Stegostoma tigrinum: one gene and its partners. Each later gene encodes a partner of the first gene's protein in a complex. Links are inferred from orthologs where the notes say so. Each region holds a gene or a part of one and is shown in the gene's direction. Other genes may lie near its edges. The genes, in order: mapkap1, rictora and mlst8.

Region 1 (6,995 bases):
GCAAGTAAGCAATGCTGTGATGCACCCTGGTCCAATTCATGAACTGGGTGCTTGTTTCTGTGCAAAATGTGCCATTGCAGTAGCATTCCGGTGATAGTTTCTCGTGTGCCCCAAAGCACAGCATGGCAGTGCAGAAGCATACTATATTTGAATCAAAGATGTATCATAATGGTGTAGAGAGGCTGTCATGTGTCAGATGCAAGCATCAATGGACATGCGGTGCTTACCGCAATCGTCCATGGTGTGTTCCCTGAAGCGTTCGTGTTGTGTACGCAAGATGGAGCTGGAGTGGTGCCTGCTGTGACTTTCATGTTGGAAATTCTCCATGCCTAGTTTGGTATATGGTAAGATAGGGATCTGCATGTTAATGAAGTGAGATTCAGTGGTAATGAAGAAGATAATGAGCGATAATGCTTTTTGTCAGGCCTGTTGCACGTCAATAGCAGGAATCTTGACTCGCTGACTGGAACTCTGTTGGAAAATGTAACTTGTTGCTCCTGATTTACATGAAGACCTTGCTGGTCTTCTTATATGATTCTCTCAAATTTTTCATGACAGCCTACATCATTCAAGGACTAGCAAGACTCCATCCTGAATTTCCTTTTACGAACATTTACCTCTATGTAAAGCTATATTTTGTTAAAAGACTTGATTATTGGCAACATCACACTTTCTCAATCCTATAACGGCGAGAGTATATTTTGTTTGAAATGTTTGTCAGAAAGGTAACCATTTTCATTAACATCTCTCTTCTCTCCTCTCTCCCCTGCTGAAATATAAACCAATTGCACAGGGTCTCCAGCTAACACTTTTCCTTCCACTTATAATCCCTAGCTTTCAAAACATATATATTCAGTGCCACAAACTTATTACAGCCCAACTTATCTGATTATATTGTACCCTTTCCAGCTTGACAATGCTCTATACTAGGTCTTTACCTTTTTACCTTGCATTGTGCCCCTTGATCATGAGTGGTGTTTCAAGGTTAATAGTGAGGTACAAAATTGATTTAATTAAGACTAATTATTATTGTTTAGTTTTGGAGAAATTTATTGTGCTTAATTCAAAAAATATTCAATATTTATCTCAAATCGTGATTAGTGATGTTCTATGGTTTCCTGAGTTTTCTGCAGATTTTAAAAGAATATATGCATTTTCTGTCGTAATATTATCTAAAACAGGCCAAACGTTGCTTTATATGTGACTGTCTTCTTGATGTATTTCATTTTGCTTTCTTATAGAAATATCATTGCACTAAAACTCAAATCTAAAACAAGTAACATAATTACAAAACACAAATTTGGCATAAAGTTCTGAGTTAATTTTTCAGCACTGACAAGAAGAGCATCCGCTATGTTGCTTATCACTTGTGTTAATTAGTTGGTCCCGTTCATACGATGTAGGGGGATAATACCATGGAAGAAATAAACAGAATTTCAATGTAAAGTAAGGTTAACATCATCTGATCGAAAAGTGTTTTGCCTGGAATCACACCTTAAAAATATTACTATGTACAATAGACAACATTGTTTTACAAAAATGGAACAATGCAAATACTTTTTAATGAAAATTAAATGTACTGGTAGATATGAACAGAATATATCCCAAGCATAAATACAAATAAATGCATTTAAGTATTTTGCTCTCTTTGGGAAAACTTGGAGTTTAGAACAGAGCATAGATGTCTATAATTATAGGATTCCATATTTGCTTTTGTGATATCAATCAATATATTCCCACACTGGATGCCAAAATATTTCCAGTCTATCAGACTATGTGATATTTGACATTTTGTTTATTGATCCCAGCTTTTTCAAAGAAAGTGTACAGCATCAGGCAAGTCAGTTACACCTTGAAAACAGACCATCTGGCCCACAAAATCACAGTGATGTTTATCCTTCACACTGGTGCAAATCCCACAAGCCTGTCTGGTTCACTTTATTTTCCTTTTCTCCAACCACCTAATAATTAATTCACAAATGTTACATGGAGGTAGATATTCAGTTAGGATTCTTCCAATGCTCCACACATGTTCCGTGGAAAATCAGCAGAAAACCTTGAGAAATCAAATATTCCCATAACAACATAAATTGCTGAGAAATCTTTTGCAGCACCTGTGGACAGAAAGCAAAGTTAACCTTCCAGGTCCAGTGACCCTTCTTCTTCAGATGTTTCTGATTTCCAGCATCTGCAGTTCTTTTATTTTTGGCTATTTCTGTAATTTCTCCAGAATTTCATACTTTTCACTCATGTTAAGTGAGAATCTCCATAGAAATTCCAAATGATAGAAACTGCTTCACTCATTTTGAACCTAGCATAATACATTTTCACAACCCTCTGGAAAAAAAAGCTTTTCTTGCACTCCACCTGCATCTTTTTTACTTACTTATCTTGCCATGAGAAAAGTCCTGCTGAATCTGCTTGTACCCTTTTCTCCCACCTCAACATATTCTTTTAGTGCAGATTCTAAAATTACAAAATATTTCCGATTGTGGTCTATCATCACATTGCTAATTTTATATTCTATACCTTGTCATAGAACAATATTTCATTAGCTTTTCTAATTAAATTAAAAGTGTTAGACTAAGTGGATAATATCTTGAAGCAGTATCAGTGGTGGCACAGTGCTGTCACTTTCATCTCTGAATCACATTCAAAAATCTAGGCCAACACTCATTGTCGTACTGTGGAGGGATTCACTGCGAGTGGTGTTTTTTTGGATGAGACATTAAGTTGAAGTCATCCATGCTTTCAGGTGGATATAAAAGAACACAAAATGCTGTTTTAAAGTAAAAACAAATGTGTGATAGTTGGCATTCTGGCTATTGCTAATCCTTCAATGAACATCACAAAAATTATTTGTTGGTTGTCATCACTTTGCTGTTCCTGCAATGGACAATTGGCTATTGTGTTTTCTACTTTACAACACTTGAAAAATACTTCATTGATTGTAAAATGCATTGAAATGTCTGGTAGTTGCAAAAGCTAATATATAAATTCAAGGCTTTCTTTAAAACTGAACATCTCATTTATTAACATTCCATCTTCTGCTTTCCTGCTCAGTCCTCTGCCTGATTATCAGGCTTTTTAGCTCCTGAGGGACTCTGGTCCTCGGAATTATTATGCCTCCTATTTGAATATAACCAGCCTACCACCACCGCCCCCCACACATCTTTCAACTGTTTGTCATTGGCTTTCAGCATTGCACTTTATCAAAAGTTTTCTAAAAGTCAATGTATACCACATCCACCATTTACAATATGTCACCTTCTTAAATAACTATCAGAATTTCAGGCACACACTTCCTTTCTGAAAACCATCAGAAATGTCTCTTTCCAAAGAAGAAGTGCAGTATCATACTTCAAACTTTACACAGATTGTGTACATTGATTGGCTACATCTCGGACCATACGGAGAAGCGTTTTTTAGAATTCTGATCAATTGCAGGCAAAAAACGAACAATGATGGTTCACATCTAGAATTTACTGCAACTGTATGACCGAGAATTCACACGTCAGCAAACCAGTGCAAATTTTCCAGAGATCGTATCTATAGTTTACCTGTACAGCAATTAAAGAACTTAAGTAGCAAAGTTATACAATGATTTACTCTATTAAAACATGCATATAAATAAAGTATTGGGAGTAGAATGAACTCTTTGGAGGAGGAAAATAACAACAGTACATTGTAGACATAAACAGGGCAATACAAGGTAGAAAAGCAGACGCCCACCAGTAGCTCAATTCAAAACAATTGAGCCTCGGACACAGCAAGGTAGCACCGGTCACAGCAACCTGCTACAAGCCAGCGCAAGACCTTTCCTGCTCCTCATTGATTGGTACAAGTTTCCCCAATACTCCAATCAGTGATGAGACTCCCCAGGAGGACTCAATCTGATTGAGCATTGCTGCTGCCAATCCATGCTGGCTTTCCGGCAGCAGGTTGAGTTGTGTGTCGGTCCCGCCCTCGTAGCCGAGTGCGGTTGAGTGTTCAATCCACGGCGGATAGCGTTCCGGGCCGAGGTACGGGTTTGGGAGTATGGTTGACGTGTCCGGAATATTCTCTGTAAACAGTGGTAATAAGGCGACTATCTGAGATTTTCAATGCCGAAGGAAGCGCTGGCTATGTACAGGTGACACACGTGTTTGAAAGCCTGACCAACCGTCAAGAAGTGCTGAAATCGACGGTATGTTTTTCTTCGAGTTTGCTACCTGTCAGTGTGAGTTCCTCGGACTAGGCCGCTGGTGGAGCCTGCTGCTAGAGCAACAGCTTTACCGCCGGCCTCCGTCACATGCACGGCTCCTACTCACTTGATCCAGTTTGTTTACAACATTTCGTCTCTATCTTTGGTGAAAAAAGCAGAGTTTATTTATCTGTCGCCTTTAATGCAGCTCATTAGGCCTGTTGTGGTTTTCAGGGGTCAAAGTAGTCTTGTCCCAAGTTGTTCAAAATTCCTCGTAAATATGTTATTAGGAGTAAAACAACGCTATCCAGAAAAACACCCCCGCTCTGCAAAGCTGATAGATGGCACACCCGTTACACTGGTTTATTCTCTGATTTATACTATACGTGGCAACTAAGAATACAATGCCAATGTGATTAGTCATTGACTGTGATCATTTTGTATACGTTAATGGATGTGTAGGAGTAAACAAGACTGTAGCAGTGGCAAAGGGTTCAGAGGACAACGCTTCTTGTGTTTGAAAGCTACGCACAGATTTTGCATGGCCCCTCTAAATTTTTTTTATTTCATGTTATGGATGGAATCTGATATTCAATTTGTACGATTTTTTTGATGTTTGAAGCTGTCACATTCAAATTATAAATCGTAAACAAGGGATAGAAGTTCGTAGAGCTTTTCGTTTTCACTTTTGTGGTAGCTAGTTAGGGATCATCAAACATTTTGAAAAATTCAAAAACCTCATTTTAAACTGTAGAATTACACTGCAAGATTTCATCTTTTAACAAAAAAATTAGCATGTATGATTAGATTGACACTAGCTTATACCTGTATATGCTCAAGTTTACTTTCTTAGCTCATTCTTTTGAGAAGTATATATTTTGAAGTTATTTGAAAGATGCTGTTTGGAACTCGTCTTTTAACTCAGTAGACCGAATAGCCTGCTTCCACACTAGGGATTGTATGATATGGACAGTATGCCACAGTCCTGTGGAGAATTTTTGTCAACTATGACAATTCTTAGAAATAGAACTTTAACTTACTTTCTCTTGACTGTGGAGACTTCAATCTCTTGTTCTGAATACTTTTCTAGTACTTTCATGCTAATCTTCTGCTCCTTTCTTTAGCAATAATTCACCGACAGTATATTGCCTCAGTTGAAGCTATTACAGCAGTAGAACATAGAACAGTACAGTACAGGCCCTTCAGCCTACGATGTTGCGCTGACCTATTATCTTCCTCCTTCAGAAGATTCAAACTGGTATTAAGTCTGACCCAACTTCTCTGTGGTAAATGGTAACGTCTGTGTTTTAATTTGTGTACAGTACAGGTCTAGCTTTTAATAATTTTGGCTGGCGTTGTGATCTGCAAACCATATAAGGTCTAAACTGCAATCAAAAACCTCTCCAGGAAATACCCAAATAAACTGAGGCTTGAGAGCCTTTCTAAGTTATAGCCATTTCCATGATAACATAGTTGCTCTGGGCTATCCTCAAACAGGCATTTAAGCTAATTTCTCACTTAGAATTTCTCTAGTTAACTAAGTCTGCCTGCTGTTTTATAGCTGATATTTCTTCCATCCTGACTCCCGACAAACACACACTTGGGCAACCTTCTGACCTGCCGTTTTATTTTTGGTATACTATTTTGACACTGCCAAACTTCAACGTTTGAATTGCATTACCTTCTCAAATATCATGTTAGAGAATAGCATGCAAGTATTTTCTAATTTATGCTCACAGGATAAGTGTTGCCGGTAAGACCAGCATTATTGGCCATTCCGTACTGCCTTTGAGAAGGTAGTGCCCAGCTGCATTGAACCAATTCAGCTGCTGTGATGTAGGTCCTCTCTTGGTGCTATTGATGAAGCGTTATTTTGCTCCAGTGACCACAAAAGCATGGTTATATATTTCCAAGTCAGCTTGATGGTAAACTCTGAGGGAATGGTGATTCCCGTTTCTTTGCTGTCCGTGCCAGTGGTGCTGATGAAGGAGCTATGGTGCTTTGTTACAGTTTATCTTGGTCACAGTGCTCTGCGCTGGTTATGGAGGTCATGGATGTTTAAGGTGGGGATGCTAGTCAAGCATGCTGCTTTACCTTGGATTGTATACAGGGTGTGGTGTTGTTGGAAGCGAACTTGAAACGAGTGGAAGTATTCCATAACACTTTTGACTTTTGTCATGTCGATGATGGATGTTTTGAAACTATGAAGGTCCGAGAGAACCCACATTGGACGGGTTGGCTAAAGCTGATTAAGAATCGGATGGTGATAGTGTAAAAGTAATGCATGCACCTCACTATGTTTGCATGATTTAGGAAATCTGTTGCATTTTTCTCATAACAAGCTTTGCCAGTTTCAGCAGTGAATAGCAAAATAAAAGTGAGAGGTATTTCCTTGTGAGGACTCTCTTTTTGTACATTGAAAATATACAAATATCATGAATATTTTATGCTGATTTGCTTTTTTTCTGCTTCTACTTTGTGTTTTGCTTTCCCTTTTTAGAGAAGAAATTTCAACATTGTTTTTGGGGAGCAAGAACTTAATTGCTTTCTAATTTATTATAACCTTTAACATTGGGCCTAGTGCTTCACGGAAGGATGATCAGCTAAAAAATGATGCCAAGCCGAAGAAGATACTATGTGGAGTAAAAATAAAATTGAGGATGTTAGAGAAACCCAGCAGATCATGCAGTGGAAGTGGAGACAGAAATAGAGTTAATGTTTTTGGTCGAAAGATGACTTTGAAACTGAATGTTAGGAGACTTACTGAAAGCCTTGTGTCAGAGGAAGGTGTTAAGGAATCTTTTAAAGGAGG
Region 2 (7,075 bases), on another chromosome or scaffold:
TGGAGAATCTCAGTCAAAACAGTGTGAGGCTGAATGAACACAGCAGACCAAGCAGCATCTGAAGAACAGGAAAGCTGACGTTTCTTCCCTTCTTCAGAAGAAGAAAGTCAGCCTGACATTAAATGTGTTCTTCCATTGGTGAAGGTTGACAGCTGGCCCCTCTGCCAACTATGTTGCTGCTGTCCCTCTTGGCTGCCATCCTACTTTATCAGACCCTCTCCTTCTTCCCCATACCCTGAATGTCCCTCAGGGACAAAACCATAAACTGCTGGGAAAACGTAGCAAGTCTAACAGAAATAACAAAGTGTGGAGCTGGATGAACACAGCAGGCCAAGCAGCATCTCAGGAGCACAAAAGCTGACATTTCGGGCCTAGACCCTTCATCAGAAAAGGGGGATGGGGAGAGGGTTCTGAAATAAATAGGGAGAGAGGGGGAGGCAGATCGAAGATGAATAGAGGAAAAGGTAGGTGGAGAGGAGACAGACAAATTAAAGGGGCGGGCATGGATCCTGTAGAGGTGAGTATAGGTGGGAGGTAGGGAGAGGATAGGTCAGTCCAAGGAGGACGGACAGGTCAAGGGGGCGGGACGAGGTTAGAAGGAAGGAAATGAGGGTGCGGCTTGAGGTGAGAGGAGGGGAAAGGAGAGAGGAAGAACAGATTAGGGAGGTGGGGACGAGCTGGGCTAGTTTTGGGATGCAGTGGGGGGGAGGGGAGATTTTGAAGCTTGTGAAATCCACATTGATACCATTGGGCTGCAGGGTTCTGCAACCTTCGGGTAGCATCGTTATGGCACTGCAGGAGGCCCAGGGTGGTCGTGTCATCTAAAGAATGCGAGGGGGAATTGAAATGGTTCGCGACTGTGAGGTGCAGTTGTTTATTGCAAACTGAGTGTAGGTGTTCTGCAAAGCAGTCTCCAAGACTCTGCTGGTTTCCCTGATGTAGAGGCAGCCACAACGGGTACAGCGGATGCAGTATAGCACATCGGCAGATGTGCAGGTGAAGATGTGCAGGAGGCTTGGGGACCACATCCTAAAACCAGCCCAGTCCCTCCGCTTCTTCCTGTCCCACAGACCCAACCAGTCCCTCTCCAACGACATCCTCATCCGCCTAGCCGAACTTGTCCTCACCCTCAACAACTTCTCTTTCTATTCCTCCCAATTCCTACAGACAAAAGGGATGGCCATGGGTACCCACATGGGCCCAAGCTATGCCCGCCTCTTTGTAGGTTACGTGGAACAGTCCCTCTTCCGCAACTACACTGGCCCCAACCCCCACCTCTTCCTCTGTTACATTGATACCTGTATTGGTGCCGCCTCGCGCTCCCAAGAGGAGCTCAAACAGTTCATCCACTTCACTAACCCCTTCCGCCCCAACCTTAAGTTCACCTGGACCATCTCCGACACATCCCTCACCTTCCTGGACCTGTCTCCATCTCAGGCAACCACCTAGAAACCGATGTCCATTTCAAGCTCACCGACTCCCACAGCTACCTAGAAATCAACTCCACACACCCACCTTCCTGCAAAAATTACATCCCCTATTCCCAATTCCTTCACCTCCGCCGCATCTGCTCCCAGGATGAGGCTATCCACTCCCGTACATCCCAGATCTCCTCGTTCTTCAAGGAGCGCAACATCCCCCTGCGGTGGTCGAGAACGCCCTCAACCACGTCTCCCGCATTTCCCGCAACTCATCCCTCACACCCCGCCCCTGCAATAACTGCCAAACGAGAATCCCCCTAGTTCTCACATACCACCCCACAAACCTGTGGATACAACGCATCATCCTCCGACACTTCTGCCATCTACAATCCAACCCCACCGCTAAAGACAGTTTTCCATCCCCACACTTCTCTCTGTCTGCCTTCCGGAGAGAACACTCTCTCCGCGATTCCCTTATCCGCTCCACATTCCCCTCCAACCCCACCACACCCGGCACTTTCTCCTGCAACCGCAGGAAGTGCTACACTTGCCCTCACACCTCCTCCCTCACCCCCATCCCAGGCCCCAAGAAGACTTTACACATCAAGCAGACGTTCACCTGCACATCCGCCAATGTGGTATACTGCATCTGCTGTACACTGTGTGGCTTCCTCTACATTGGGGAAACCAAGCGGAGGCTTGGGGACCGGTTTGCAGAACACCTATGCTCGGTTCACAGTAAATAACTGCATCTAGTATAGAGAGATAATGGGAACTGCAGATGCTGGGGAATCCAAGATTATAAAGTGTGAAGCTGGATGAACACAGCAAGCCACGCAGCATCTCAGGAGCACAAAAGCTGACTTTTCGGGCCTAGACCCTTCATCAGAGAGAGGCCTGAAACGTCAGCTTTTGTGCTCCTGAGATGCTGCTTGGCCTGCTGTGTTCACCCAGCTTCACACTGTATTATCTTGCACCTCGTATAAAATAGTTTAAGTTAGATGGGCTTGAGATCGGTATGACAGGTCAGCACAACATCGAGGGCCGAAGGGCCTGTACTGTGCTGTAATGTTCTATACCTCATTGTCGCAAACCATTTCAGCTCCCCCTCCCATTCCTGAGATGGCATGTCCATCATGGGCCTCCTGCAGTGCCACAATGACACCACCGATAGGTTGCGGGAACAGCAACTCATATTCCGCTTGGGAACCCTGCAGCCCAATGGTATCACTGTGGGTTTCACCAGCTTCAAAATCTCCCCTCCCCCCACTGCATCCCAAAACCAGCCCAGTTCGTCCCCTCGTCCCTAAACTGTTCTTCCTCTCACCTATCCCCTCCTCCCAACACACCTCCGTTTCCTACCTACTAACCTCATCCCACCCCCTTGACCTGTACGTCCTCCCCGGACTGACCTATCCCCTCCCTACCTCCCCACCTATACTCTCCTCTCCACCTATCTTCTTTTGTCTCCATCTTCAATCTGCCTACCTCTCTCTCCCTATTTATTTCAGAACCCTCTCCTCATCCCCCTTTTCTGATGGAGGGTCTAGGCCTGAAACGTCAGCTTTTGTGCTCCTGAGATGCTGCTGGGCCTGCTGTGTTCATCCAGCTTCACACTTTGTTAGAGATAATGGGAACTGCAGATGCTGGAGATTCCAAGATAATAAAATGTGAGGCTGGATGAACACAGCAGGCCAAGCAGCATCTCAGGAGCACAAAAGCTGACATTTCGGGCCTAGACCCTTCATCAGAGAGGGGGATGGGGGGAGGGAACTGGAATAAATAGGGAGAGAGGGGGAGGCGGACCGAAGATGGAGAGTAAAGAAGATAGGTGGAGAGGGTGTAGGTGGGGAGGTAGGGAGGGGATAGGTCAGTCCAGGGAAGACGGACAGGTCAAGGAGGTGGGATGAGGTTAGTAGGTAGCTGGGGGTGCGGCTTGGGGTGGGAGGAAGGGATGGGTGAGAGGAAGAACCGGTTCGGGAGGCAGAGACAGGTTGGACTGGTTTTGGGATGCAGTGGGTGGGGGGGAAGAGCTGGGCTGGTTGTGTGGTGCAGTGGGGGGAGGGGATGAACTGGGCTGGTTGAGGGATGCAGTGGGGGAAGGGGAGATTTTGAAACTGGTGAAGTCCACATTGATACCATATGGCTGCAGGGTTCCCAGGCGGAATATGAGTTGCTGTTCCTGCAACCTTCGGGTGGCATCATTGTGGCAGTGCAGGAGGCCCATGATGGACATGTCATCAAGAGAATGGGAGGGGGAGTGGAAATGGTTTGCGACTGGGAGGTGCAGTTGTTTGTTGCGAACTGAGCGGAGGTGTTCTGCAAAGCGGTCCCCAAGCCTCCGCTTGGTTTCCCCAATGTAGAGAAAGCCGCACCGGGTACAGTGGATGCAGTATACACTTTGTTATCTTGGTTTCTCCAGCATCTGCAGTTCCCGTTACCTCTGATACAAGTCTAACAATCTGTGGAGAGAAAGCCAAATTAACGTTTCTAGTGCAGCACCAAACCACCAAACCCCTTATTCCTGGAGCACGCCCCCTTCCTAAAGACCCACCCCTAACCCTGGAGACCCGCCCCTCCACCCTTACACCCCACCCCACCTCCCCATTCATTGAGCCTGGGCCCGGGCCAGGGCCGTCCTCTCGCGAGAGCTGCCCGGCGTTTCCGGTGTTTTTGTGCGGCCCCAGGCCGGGCGGGCGGGCAGAGAGGCGAGAGTCCGTGAACATGGCGGTCAGCGTTCGCGGCCGCTCCGTTAGGAGCCTCCGCATCAGAGGTACATTACCCTCAGTCGTCAGACCCGGCCGGCAAGGCATAGACCGATAACCAGAACAAAAACAAAAAACCCTCAGCAGCGGCAATTAACGACGCTCGCACTTTAATAACGGCCCCGTCGAATGTTGTTTGTTTATGGAAATAAAATGTATGACTTACCGGCCACCTTAACTGAACCATCCTTAATCGTATTTGTTTTCTCTCTCTCTCTCCTCTGCACATATCTTCTTATATTGATTTACAATATGCACGCAGGGCGGAATGACAGCGGGGAGGAGAACGTGCCGCTCGATCTGTCCCGAGGTAAGGGGGAAACGGGGCATTTTTTTTAAATATGAGGACGGTGGAAGGAAGTAAATAAACAAAATAAAATTCTGTAGGAGGTTGGTGATGGCGGATCGTGGTGGGGGAGGAATGGTGTTGGAGCTACGATGAGACGTGAGGGCAAAGTCGCTGCTCCGCTGACCGGAGTGTGAGGGAGACCACAAAACTTTGGAATTATTGTGTAAAGGAGTTGGGGGTGGGGAGGGAACCGGTGGACTCAGTCGGGAGGAGTGGGAAAGTGAAGTTGTTTTTCCTTCTCTCTGACTGTCTCCCGCCGCCCTCGCACCGAATGAATCAGGGGCCGCCGCCTCTCCTGGGCGCCAGCTTTTCAAACACTAACGGCTCCCGGGCCGCGAGCCCCGTCCGTTGGTGGGGAGATTCCACTCGGGGGCAGGAGAGGGGTTTGTGGGATCATTCATCTGCCCCACGCCCCGCCCCGCTCCTCCCCCCCCCCCCCCATCTCTGTTTGTGGTCTCGCCTTTCCACTCCGCCCTGGAGCTGGTTGGCCCTCCACTGTCATTGGGGGCGGGTGGGCTAAAGGGAGAACTGGGTGCATTTTGCGGGGTTGGGGTAGGAAAGAAAGTGAGCTGGGATTTATTGATTAGGAAGGGGACGACGGTGTTGAAGTGGGATGGGAAAAGGGGGGACTGGGAGAGGGCGAAGGATAATGGATAGGGGGAGCAGGCAAGATGGGAATCTGTGTAATCGGATTGGGGGGGGGATGTAAGATGAGGCTGGGGGTAGGGGGAACGTCTGGGACAGATCAAATAGCTGAAAGATGCAATACAGGATTGGACATTGAGGGTATGAAACTGGGCATCGAGGATCTTGAAGTAGTGGGTGGTAAAGAACCTAACAAATAGGAGGAGTAAACACTACAGCCTCTTGAGACCTAAACTTGTTCGACAGTAGAGCGCCTGCAAGCCCCTCTCATCTGTCATTCAAAATATCTGCAGCGATCTTTGTGAGTGTTCAGTTCTGATGGAGTCATCTAGATTCAAAACATTAGCATGGGCTTTCTCCATGGATGCTGTAAGACCTGCTGTGACCTCCAGCATTTCTTGTTTTCAGTTTGTGTGTGTAATTGTTAACTGGCATCCACAGCGCTCTCGGGTACAGAACTCCAAAAATTCATATGTCTTTCAGTGAAATTATGGGTATGGGGCGATAGTGGGAGCGTGGCCCTCAGATGGAGGATCAGCTATGATCATGTTGAAGTGGACTAGTTACACTGAATTGGTTTTGTTTTCTGTATTTTTGTGTTTTCTCATCTCAATTCTAAGTGACCAGTCCCTTAGTCTGAGCCTTTGACTCTACATTCTTGATTTTCTGTATTTTTCTATATGCCCCTTTGCCACTGTCATCCTATTTTGTCTGCCTTCTCCTGCATTGTACTGTACACTTTTTCAGTGAAATTTTCTCTCACCCAGCTTAGTTCATTCTAAGCAAGAGCCATTCTATTCCAATTTCCTCCCCCAAAGTTGTTCCATTCTAGACAAACCAAGCAAGACCTTTCATGTAGCGATACCTCCTGTTATTTCAAGTTAATTAACACCTCAAGCTGTCACTATTTAGGCATGATTTTGTACTCACCAGTGCTCTAAAACTATCCTCTGCCTACTCAGCAAATAAAACCAGCATTTTTCACTGTCCAAAGTAGTGATTTTTTGGCAACGAAAGTCATTAATATTCTCTCAATCCTAAATCTAGTACTGCTAAATTGCAAGGAATGGGTATTTTCTCTTGTTAATGTTTCACATCTGATGCCAGCTGATAACATGTAACATTATTAAATGCATTGTCTGTGCTCGTTTAGAAACAAAAGCAAGTGGTCTCCTGGATGGTGGCTCAGTAGGTAGCACAGCTGCCTCACAGCACCTAGCACCCGGGTTCAATACCAGCCTCGGGCAGCCGTGCAGACTCCACACAGACGTTCTCACAGGGTCGGGATAGGTTTCCTCCTGGTGCTCTGATTTCCTCCCACAGTCCAGAGATGTGTGTTAGGTGGATTAGCCATGGGAAATGCAGGCTTACAGGGAGAGGGTTGGATCTGGATGGGATGCTGTTTGGAAGATCAGCGTGGACTTGAAGGGCTGAATGGTCTGTTCCACAGTATTGGGATTCTGAGCTTCTATCGTGGTGGTACCTGGTCTCCCAGCAGCATTGATTTAGCGAGTGAGTCATGCAGTGCAAGTGCAGTATTTCTGAAAACGCTGACTACTGGTGCCTATGTGTGGAACCTGCTCGGTATCTCTTGCCCAAGTGCTTGTATTGACCCTACTCCATTAATCAGTTCCAGCGCCAGCCTAACCTTTGCCCTATCGCGCTGCTCCGGAGATGCCTTCCCTGTCTGTCAGCTTGCAAACATTGCCTAGTAATGAAGCCTTCAGTGATTTGTTTACGTTTAAAATGGACTCTTAAGTTTTGTGGGAAGTGGCGGCAGTTTCGATGTATTTTTCTGTATTAACGTTTATTGCTTTTTGACTCTGGGTGGAGAAAGGAGGATGATGGGTGCACGATGTGTTTTTTTCGAAACGGCCACGTCCTGAGGGGAGGGA
Region 3 (7,151 bases), on another chromosome or scaffold:
ATTATTTCAATCAAAACTTAAATTCCAATTTGCATAAATATTGGCCAATGCAGCAGGGAGAACTCCCTTTCAGATGGTGTCATTGGATTTGTTTATCCACCAAAACGACTCATTGTCTATGTTTCATCTGAATGCAAAAATGCAGCATTCCCTCGGTTCTGCACTGGAGTGGCAGAAACGCTGATCACATGCGCAGCTTCTAAGCAACGTCTTCCAGTAGGGAAGAATTCTTACGCCTATAAGCAGCAAGAACATCACAACTTTTCCACAACTCCCTTTTTTTCTAATCCATTAAACACGAGTTTGCAGGAAAATACGTCAAAATGGAACCGTAGCGTGTAACTAAAGATGATATTGCCATTAAAACGAGCCTTTCATTTGAACTTGGCTGGGGCTTTGCTATAATGCAGTCTCCAATACAGAACCAATGGACCCAGAGATTAATACAAAGACCCCTATCTCAGTAACATTCATCATAGCAGAAGCTACCTGAGCCAACTCACGTTGTGCTACGATCTGAATATTCAAATAGTGATCCACACAAACAGTTCTATCAGGGGGGTTTGTCAACCCGTTGAACGTATGTTCTCGAGATAACAATATTTGACATTTCGCTCTCTCACCACTTCCCGCCCATTTACAATATGGTAATAAAATTAGAAGAATATTGAACGCAGCTATGCACCCAACAGCTTCCCGGAGATGCATTTTTTTTAAAATCCTGGGGATTCTAGGGCACTCCTGGAGGGTTGGCAACCTTTATCACTGTCGGGGCTGATTCCAGCCTTAACTGCTAAATCTCAAGTGAAATGTAAGCAAAACATTGTAGTCTGTAATTCTTCAGTAATTGCAATTAAATCTTGTAATGTGCCACGAATCCTCAGAACGTGATTCTGGGATATTCCGCCTGACGACGAGCAGTGATTAAATAGAGATAAAGTCTCCTCCCATTGCTAAGTCCTGTGAGGACAGATTTGACCCAATGGAGTCTTCAGCTCGCACTGATGTGAGATCAATTCCCCGTCTCCAATACTGAATACCCACCACGTTCCCGTCGTCCAGGCATCTCCACTCGCCTGTTTCGTGTCTCTGCCAATGCTGCTCTCCTTTTCCGCTTCCCGCAGCTCACTTAAAGCAAGCCACCCAATTCTCGCTCTTTCACTTTCGGCATTTATCGTCGTAGGACCTAAATACCTTGCACCTGCGCAAAGTTAGTTAAGAATTATGTATTGTACAAAATAGTCAATACAGAAAATAATAATATGCAGTGTACAACATCAATGTCTCTAGTGCATTTTATATAAGACAAATAATCCACAAAAGAACCTCTAAATTCAAACGCTATAACGAATAGTCAAAATGCTCACCCTGCTGTCTCGGAATAATTGTGTGTCGCTACGATTGGAGAGTCTAGGAGATGGAATACCACTGAGATATAACGTGGTAAACTATTTCCCACAGACAGGCCAGGAACAATTGAAGTATTCAGTTTTTTAAAATCACGTTTTAGACCTTTCTAACATGCTTTGCAAGCAGTGATTTTACTCCGAGAGCCATCGCACAAAATGACCCAAAGAGCTTCATGGCCAATTAAATATATTTCAACTGTTGTTTTTATTGTAACATAAAATAAGCTAATTTATACGTGGAAAAGTCTGACATTGAGCTTTGAGATAAATGATTAGATAACCTGTTTGTGATACTGATTGAGGGATAAACAATAGCCAGCAAAGCAGGAGTATCCCCTCGCTGTTCTTTGCAAAGTGTTGTGGGGTCTTTTGCTTTTACCTAAATGGCTCGACAGGGTCTTCATTTAACATGGGCATCCAGCATAGCAGCACTTTCTCAGTACTGTACTGAAGTGTCAACCTCAATTACATAGAATCGAAATGCAGAAATTGACCGTTCCATTCAACAGGTTTTACCAATATTTATAATGTGCAGGGGTATCTTGCAACTGTAAATATATCTCACTGTTCCACACCCATATGAGGTTGTTGACTTGCTCGCCGAGCTGAACGAGAACAAGCCAGCTCGGCGAGCAAGACGACAATCTCACCCACAACCCGAGCTACAGATCTTTGCCAAAGCTTTAAATCCACGCCCATTTCCCTCTATTCTTATCTTCATTATATCTTCTCTTAAACCTAGTAAATTTAACTCTAACAACCACCGCATGTCGGAATGAATTCCACATTGACATTTCACTGTCCTACTTTTTTGTGCCTTGGATGCATTTGGGTGCTTTTCCACTTTTGTCGAGTAAGTGTCAGTATTGTATTGTTCCGTTGTTTCTTGAGAGGTTCAAGCTTGCTGAGCATTGTTGGAACTTCATTCGTCAAGGCAAGGAGAGAGCATTCAATTAAATTCCCACCTTGTTGGCAGAGAACGGGATTTTGGGGGGTCATGAGGTGATTTAGTCACTGCTAGAGTTCATAATTTCACAAACCAAATTATTTGTACAGTCAAGATAATAAAATGAGAGGCTGGATGAACACAGCAGGCCAAGCAGCATCTTAGTAGCACAAAAGCTGACGTTTCGGGCCTAGACCCTTCATCAGAAATGGTGGAGAGGGTTCTGAAATAAATATGGGGGGAGGGGGGGTCGAGCGCGGACAAGAGAGTTGCAGTGAGAGAGAGATCCCCTGAGGTTTGTCCGGAGGCAGGACGATAACTTCTTCAGGTTAGGCATCCCTAGAAGAGGCTTTGCATGAGGTCAAAATTGTATCAGAGATAATAGGAACTGCAGATGCTGGAGAATCCGAGATAACGAAGTGTAGAGCTGGATGAACACAAAGCAGCATTTTACTTGTACTTCTTTCAATCTAGTTCACCATATTCGCAGTTCACAATGTTACATTGGTGAGATCCAATACAGACTGGCTTTGTAGAACACTCCCTCTCTATAAAAATGACAGTATTCTTCCAATTGCTTATATTTTCAATAATCTATCTTGCTTCCACGCCAACATCTCCATTCTATAAATAAAGAACTGAGGGGGCTGGAAAGCTAGAACATTACGGAAATTACTCCAAAAACTCACCAAGTCTAGCAGCATGTTTGGAGAGAAATCAGAGTTAACGTTTTGGATGCAGTGACGCTTCTTTAGAATTTCTGTTGTGGTGTTCTTGCAAAGTTTAATGTAAGCTGGAGAACCACCACTTCGCTCTACCTTTAGGTGCTTTACAGCCTTCAGAACTCAGATGTTAAATTCATTAATTTCAGAGAATGATCTCTGTCCTTAATGTTTATTTTGATTTCTCTCGCCCTGTCGCAACGTGTCTCGCTAATTTCTTGTTGGCTTCGCTTTCACCAGAACTGACCTATTTTTCTCTAATTCAAACGAACCACTCGTCCATTTTACATATAAAACTCTCCCTTGCTACGAGAAGTGTACCCTTTGTCTTTAGTTCCGGATTGCCTCACCATCCGTCGCACTTACTCATCTTTCCCACCTTGCCAAGAGTATTGAAACAATACGTTGTCGCTCCCTTCAAGTCCGAAGAAGTCTTTGGATTCGAAAAGTTAATTTTGCTCCCTGTTCACAGATGCTGTCAGACCTGCTGAGATTCTCCAGTATTTTCTGGCTTTTTTAAAAAAAACATTCTTTCGGATATTGAATTTAATTTCGTCACTTATTCAGCCACCTCTGTTTAGATTTTCCTGTGTTTTGATACAGCCCTTCACGATATTATCTAAACCCACTCCTATATGATGTAAGCCGATGTAAAATTTTGATACAATTCCTCCAATTTCTGGGTCTGAACTACGTGGACAATAATGCACCAGGTGCGACAGCTTCATGTTTATCCGTCCAAGAGCCTTCCACCAGGTCCGAAGTTTTTCAAAATTACCAGTGCTTCTCCCCTCAAAATATCTGTGTTGACCATTGTGTCACTTTGTCTAATTGTCTGTCCTTTTTGCTCTATGTCTCCTATTTTTGTGCTTTGCGAATGGCTGATATCCGAATACTGAGCTACTTGAGTTGGTTGTCACCTTGGGTAAAATTTGATGCTACGTTCGGTGAGTCGGGCACTAGGACAGACGTACTGCAAAGGTGCATCAAATATTCACACTGTTTACGAAGAACCCACAGCCTGCTCTGGGATCAGAAATGTCAGGAGTGGTGCAACAGCAACATAAATGGCAAACGGATCGAAGATTGTGATTCTGGATTTACTGCTCGAAGTCAAAGAGATCAAAACATTTCATTCTTCATCAAGTGGAATTTAGTAATTTCTGTCTCTGATCTCTGCTACAAGTTTGCGTTGCCATCATGCACTGATGGGGTGATTCTTCTCTGCTATCTATGATTTCAGTTGAATTTAGGACACTAGAAATCTACGAACGCCAGGATTGTAACTGTAGATGATGCGGCACAATAAAATAATAAACACCCCACTGTCCAAATTCCATCAATAATCGCCCTGACAGCAAGAATATCCTAATGATCAATTCCACACGCGCTCGCTCGCTGAAGGGAAGGGATGAGCAGCTCGGGCGGACCGATTGATAGTGGGTGGTGCGGCAGACCGGCGCATTTAGATGAATGAACCAGCGGACAAATGTAGAAACGGACCAGACTTCCGGTTGTGAGTAGAATTTGCAGAGAGTGAAGTAAAGCAAGGGCTGAGCTGAAGGACGGTGAACAGAACCCCGCTGTCGGACTGCATCGAGTCCAGGGAGGGTAGGACTGATGACGGAGTCTGGGTTTACTAAACGTCAGTTTTCCTGCTCCTGAGATGCTGCTTGGCCTGCTGTGTTCATCCAGCTACACACTTTGTTATCAGAGATAATGGGAACTGCAGATGCTGGAGATTCCAAGATAATAAAATGTGAGGCTGGATGAACACAGCAGGCCAAGCAGCATCTCAGGAGCACAAAAGCTGACGTTTCGGGCCTAGACCCTTCATCAGAGAGGGGGATGGGGGGAGGGAACTGGAATAAATAGGGAGAGAGGGGGAGGCGGACCGAAGATGGAGAGTAAAGAAGATAGGTGGAGAGGGTGTAGGTGGGGAGGTAGGGAGGGGATAGGTCAGTCCAGGGAAGACGGACAGGTCAAGGAGGTGGGATGAGGTTAGTAGGTAGCTGGGGGTGCGGCTTGGGGTGGGAGGAAGGGATGGGTGAGAGGAAGAACCGGTTAGGGAGGCAGAGACAGGTTGGACTGGTTTTGGGATGCAGTGGGTGGGGGGGAAGAGCTGGGCTGGTTGTGTGGTGCAGTGGGGGGAGGGGATGAACTGGGCTGGTTGAGGGATGCAGTGGGGGAAGGGGAGATTTTGAAACTGGTGAAGTCCACATTGATACCATATGGCTGCAGGGTTCCCAGGCGGAATATGAGTTGCTGTTCCTGCAACCTTCGGGTGGCATCATTGTGGCAGTGCAGGAGGCCCATGATGGACATGTCATCAAGAGAATGGGAGGGGGAGTGGAAATGGTTTGCGACTGGGAGGTGCAGTTGTTATCTCGGATTCTCCAGCATCTGCAGTTCCTACTATCTCTGTAACAGTGAGGTTTTGTTTAACAACAATTCGGCAAATCGTTAAATCATTAGAGATAATGGGAACTGCAGATGCTGGAGAAACCAAGATAACGAAGTGTGGAGAGATAATGGGAACTGCAGATGCTGGAGAATTCCAAGATAATAAAATGTGAGGCTGGATGAACACAGCAGGCCCAGCAGCATCTCAGGAGCACAAAAGCTGACGTTTCGGGCCTAGACCCTTCATCAGAAAAGGGAGATGGGGAGAGGATTCTGAAATAAATAGGGAGAGAGGGGGAGGCGGACTGAAGATGGATAGAGGAGAAGTTAGGTGGAGAGGAGAGTATAGATTTCGGGCCTAGACCACTGTCTCCTCTCCACCTATCTTCTCCTCTATTCATCTTCGGACCACCTCCCCCCCCCCTATTTATTTCAGAATCCTCTCCCCATCTCCCTTTTCTGATGAAGGGTCTAGGCCTGAAATGTCAGCTTTTGTGCTCCTAAGATGCTGCTTGGTCTGCTGTGTTTATCCAGCTCCACAACTTGTTATTACAGTTTGCCTTATGAACGTTTGAATTGGGACCAGCCTTCCTGGTCCCTAGAGCCTGCTCGCGCAATTACATAAATTCATGGTTAATCTGATTACTCCTCATTTCAGTCTGCCCCAATAACTAACTCCAACCCCGCTTCCAAAGAATCAATCAACCTCCGTCTTAAAATATTAACAAAAATATCCACTTGTACCACCTCTGAGGAAGAGAGTTCCAAAAATGATTGAAGATATAAAATCTCCTAATTTATTTATTAAATGGGTGTTCTTTTAGTTTTGAACAGCAACCCAGAGTTCTGGATTTTCCAACTAGAGGAAACATCCTTTATATCCTGTCAGAACCTCTCAGGATCTTGTGTACTTCAAAGAAGTCACCTCTTTCTCATCCAAACTCTCCTGAATACCAGGTGAGCTTGACCACTTTTTCTTAAGAGTCTACCTGTTGCTTTTGGGAATGAGTCAGTTAAATCTCTAAACTGCTTCCCATGCGTTTACTTGCTATCTTAAATAAGAAAACAAATTCTGTATGCCACTCCAGACATGATCGTATCAATGCTTGTTACAACTGAACCATAACCTCCATACTTAATATATTAAATTTCTGTTGCAATAAATTATAACATTCTGTTACCATTGTTAATTACTTGCTGTTTCTGCATATTAACTTTTGTGATTTGTGTATTAGGACACATTACTTTGCAACTCTGTAATTGCTCACTATTTAAAAATGCACTTTTTTATTCTTCACACAAAATGGACAATTTCCCCTGTCCTCAAGTTGTCACGTACCCTCCTTTTTCACGTAACTTATTTATATATATTAATATATACCTTACCTACATATGTAGCCTTCATATTTCATGTTTACAACTTGCCTTCCTACCTTTCTTTGTGTCATCAGCAGATTTAGCAACCATAATTTCAATATCTTTATCTAAAGTAACATATAAATTGTAAAAAGCTCAGCACTGATCCCTGTGGCACACTACTTGTTACATCTTGCCAAACAAGAAAAGACCTACTTATGCCTACTCGTTCTTCCCTGTTAGCTGCTAAATCTACTAGTCTTGCTGATGTATTACCACCTGCATCATGAGTCTTTAATTTCTGCAATAACTTTT

The links.
Region 2: the proteins of mapkap1 (region 1) and rictora are in contact, whole or in part, in a cryo-EM structure (PDB 7PE7), measured with the Homo sapiens proteins. The link is inferred for Stegostoma tigrinum from reciprocal best matches to the Homo sapiens genes MAPKAP1 and RICTOR. Residues at the interface, in NP_001006618.1 of Homo sapiens: Ala2, Phe3, Leu4, Asp5, Asn6, Pro7, Ile9, Ile10, Leu11, Ala12, His13, Ile14, Arg15, Gln16, Ser17, His18, Thr20, Ser21, Asp22, Asp23, Thr24, Met26, Cys27, Met29, Val30, Leu31, Ile32, Asp35, Val36, Ser84; in NP_689969.2 of Homo sapiens: Arg108, Gln137, Glu140, Thr144, Leu147, Arg148, Arg151, Lys152, Thr155, Arg182, Met183, Arg185, Ala186, Ala189, Cys192, Glu193, Leu196, Leu220, Arg222, Ile223, Glu225, Ala226, Leu227, Thr229, Thr230, His233, Asn236, Arg293, Trp295, Glu844.
Region 3: the proteins of mapkap1 (region 1) and mlst8 are in contact, whole or in part, in a cryo-EM structure (PDB 7PE8), measured with the Homo sapiens proteins. The link is inferred for Stegostoma tigrinum from reciprocal best matches to the Homo sapiens genes MAPKAP1 and MLST8. Residues at the interface, in NP_001006618.1 of Homo sapiens: Lys102, Cys103, Lys104, Asn105, Ile106, Gln107, Trp108, Lys109, Arg111, Asn112, Ser113, Lys121, Leu123, Phe124, Glu125, Lys126, Lys127, Ser128, Leu129, Gly137, Lys138, Gln139, Ser140, Ile141, Leu142, Val144, Arg145, Leu146; in NP_001186102.1 of Homo sapiens: Ala29, His30, Pro77, Ile78, Ile79, Ser80, Tyr81, Asp82, Gly83, Arg98, Arg110, Ile111, Trp112, Gln120, Cys121, Gln122, Arg123, Ile124, Asn139, Gln140, Ala141, Leu157, Lys158, Ile203, Glu206, Ser279, Gly280, Asp281, Gln283, Asp322.

Annotation. Positions count from the first base shown.
Region 1 is NC_081382.1:27,184,112-27,191,106, reverse strand, and holds the start of mapkap1 (target of rapamycin complex 2 subunit MAPKAP1), read left to right. Parts: upstream 1-3,962; 5' UTR 3,963-4,186; intron 4,187-6,995. UniProt on the Homo sapiens protein: Component of the mechanistic target of rapamycin complex 2 (mTORC2), which transduces signals from growth factors to pathways involved in proliferation, cytoskeletal organization, lipogenesis and anabolic output.
Region 2 is NC_081356.1:134,468,271-134,475,345, reverse strand, and holds the start of rictora (rapamycin-insensitive companion of mTOR), read left to right. Parts: upstream 1-4,065; 5' UTR 4,066-4,145; coding exon 4,146-4,194; intron 4,195-4,448; coding exon 4,449-4,496; intron 4,497-7,075. UniProt on the Homo sapiens protein: Component of the mechanistic target of rapamycin complex 2 (mTORC2), which transduces signals from growth factors to pathways involved in proliferation, cytoskeletal organization, lipogenesis and anabolic output.
Region 3 is NC_081376.1:20,632,922-20,640,072, forward strand, and holds the start of mlst8 (target of rapamycin complex subunit lst8), read left to right. Parts: upstream 1-4,065; 5' UTR 4,066-4,290; exon of another isoform or gene 4,291-4,722; intron 4,723-6,304; exon of another isoform or gene 6,305-6,437; intron 6,438-7,151. Other genes in the region: zgc:113333 (beta-N-acetylhexosaminidase), read right to left, coding at 1,045-1,066.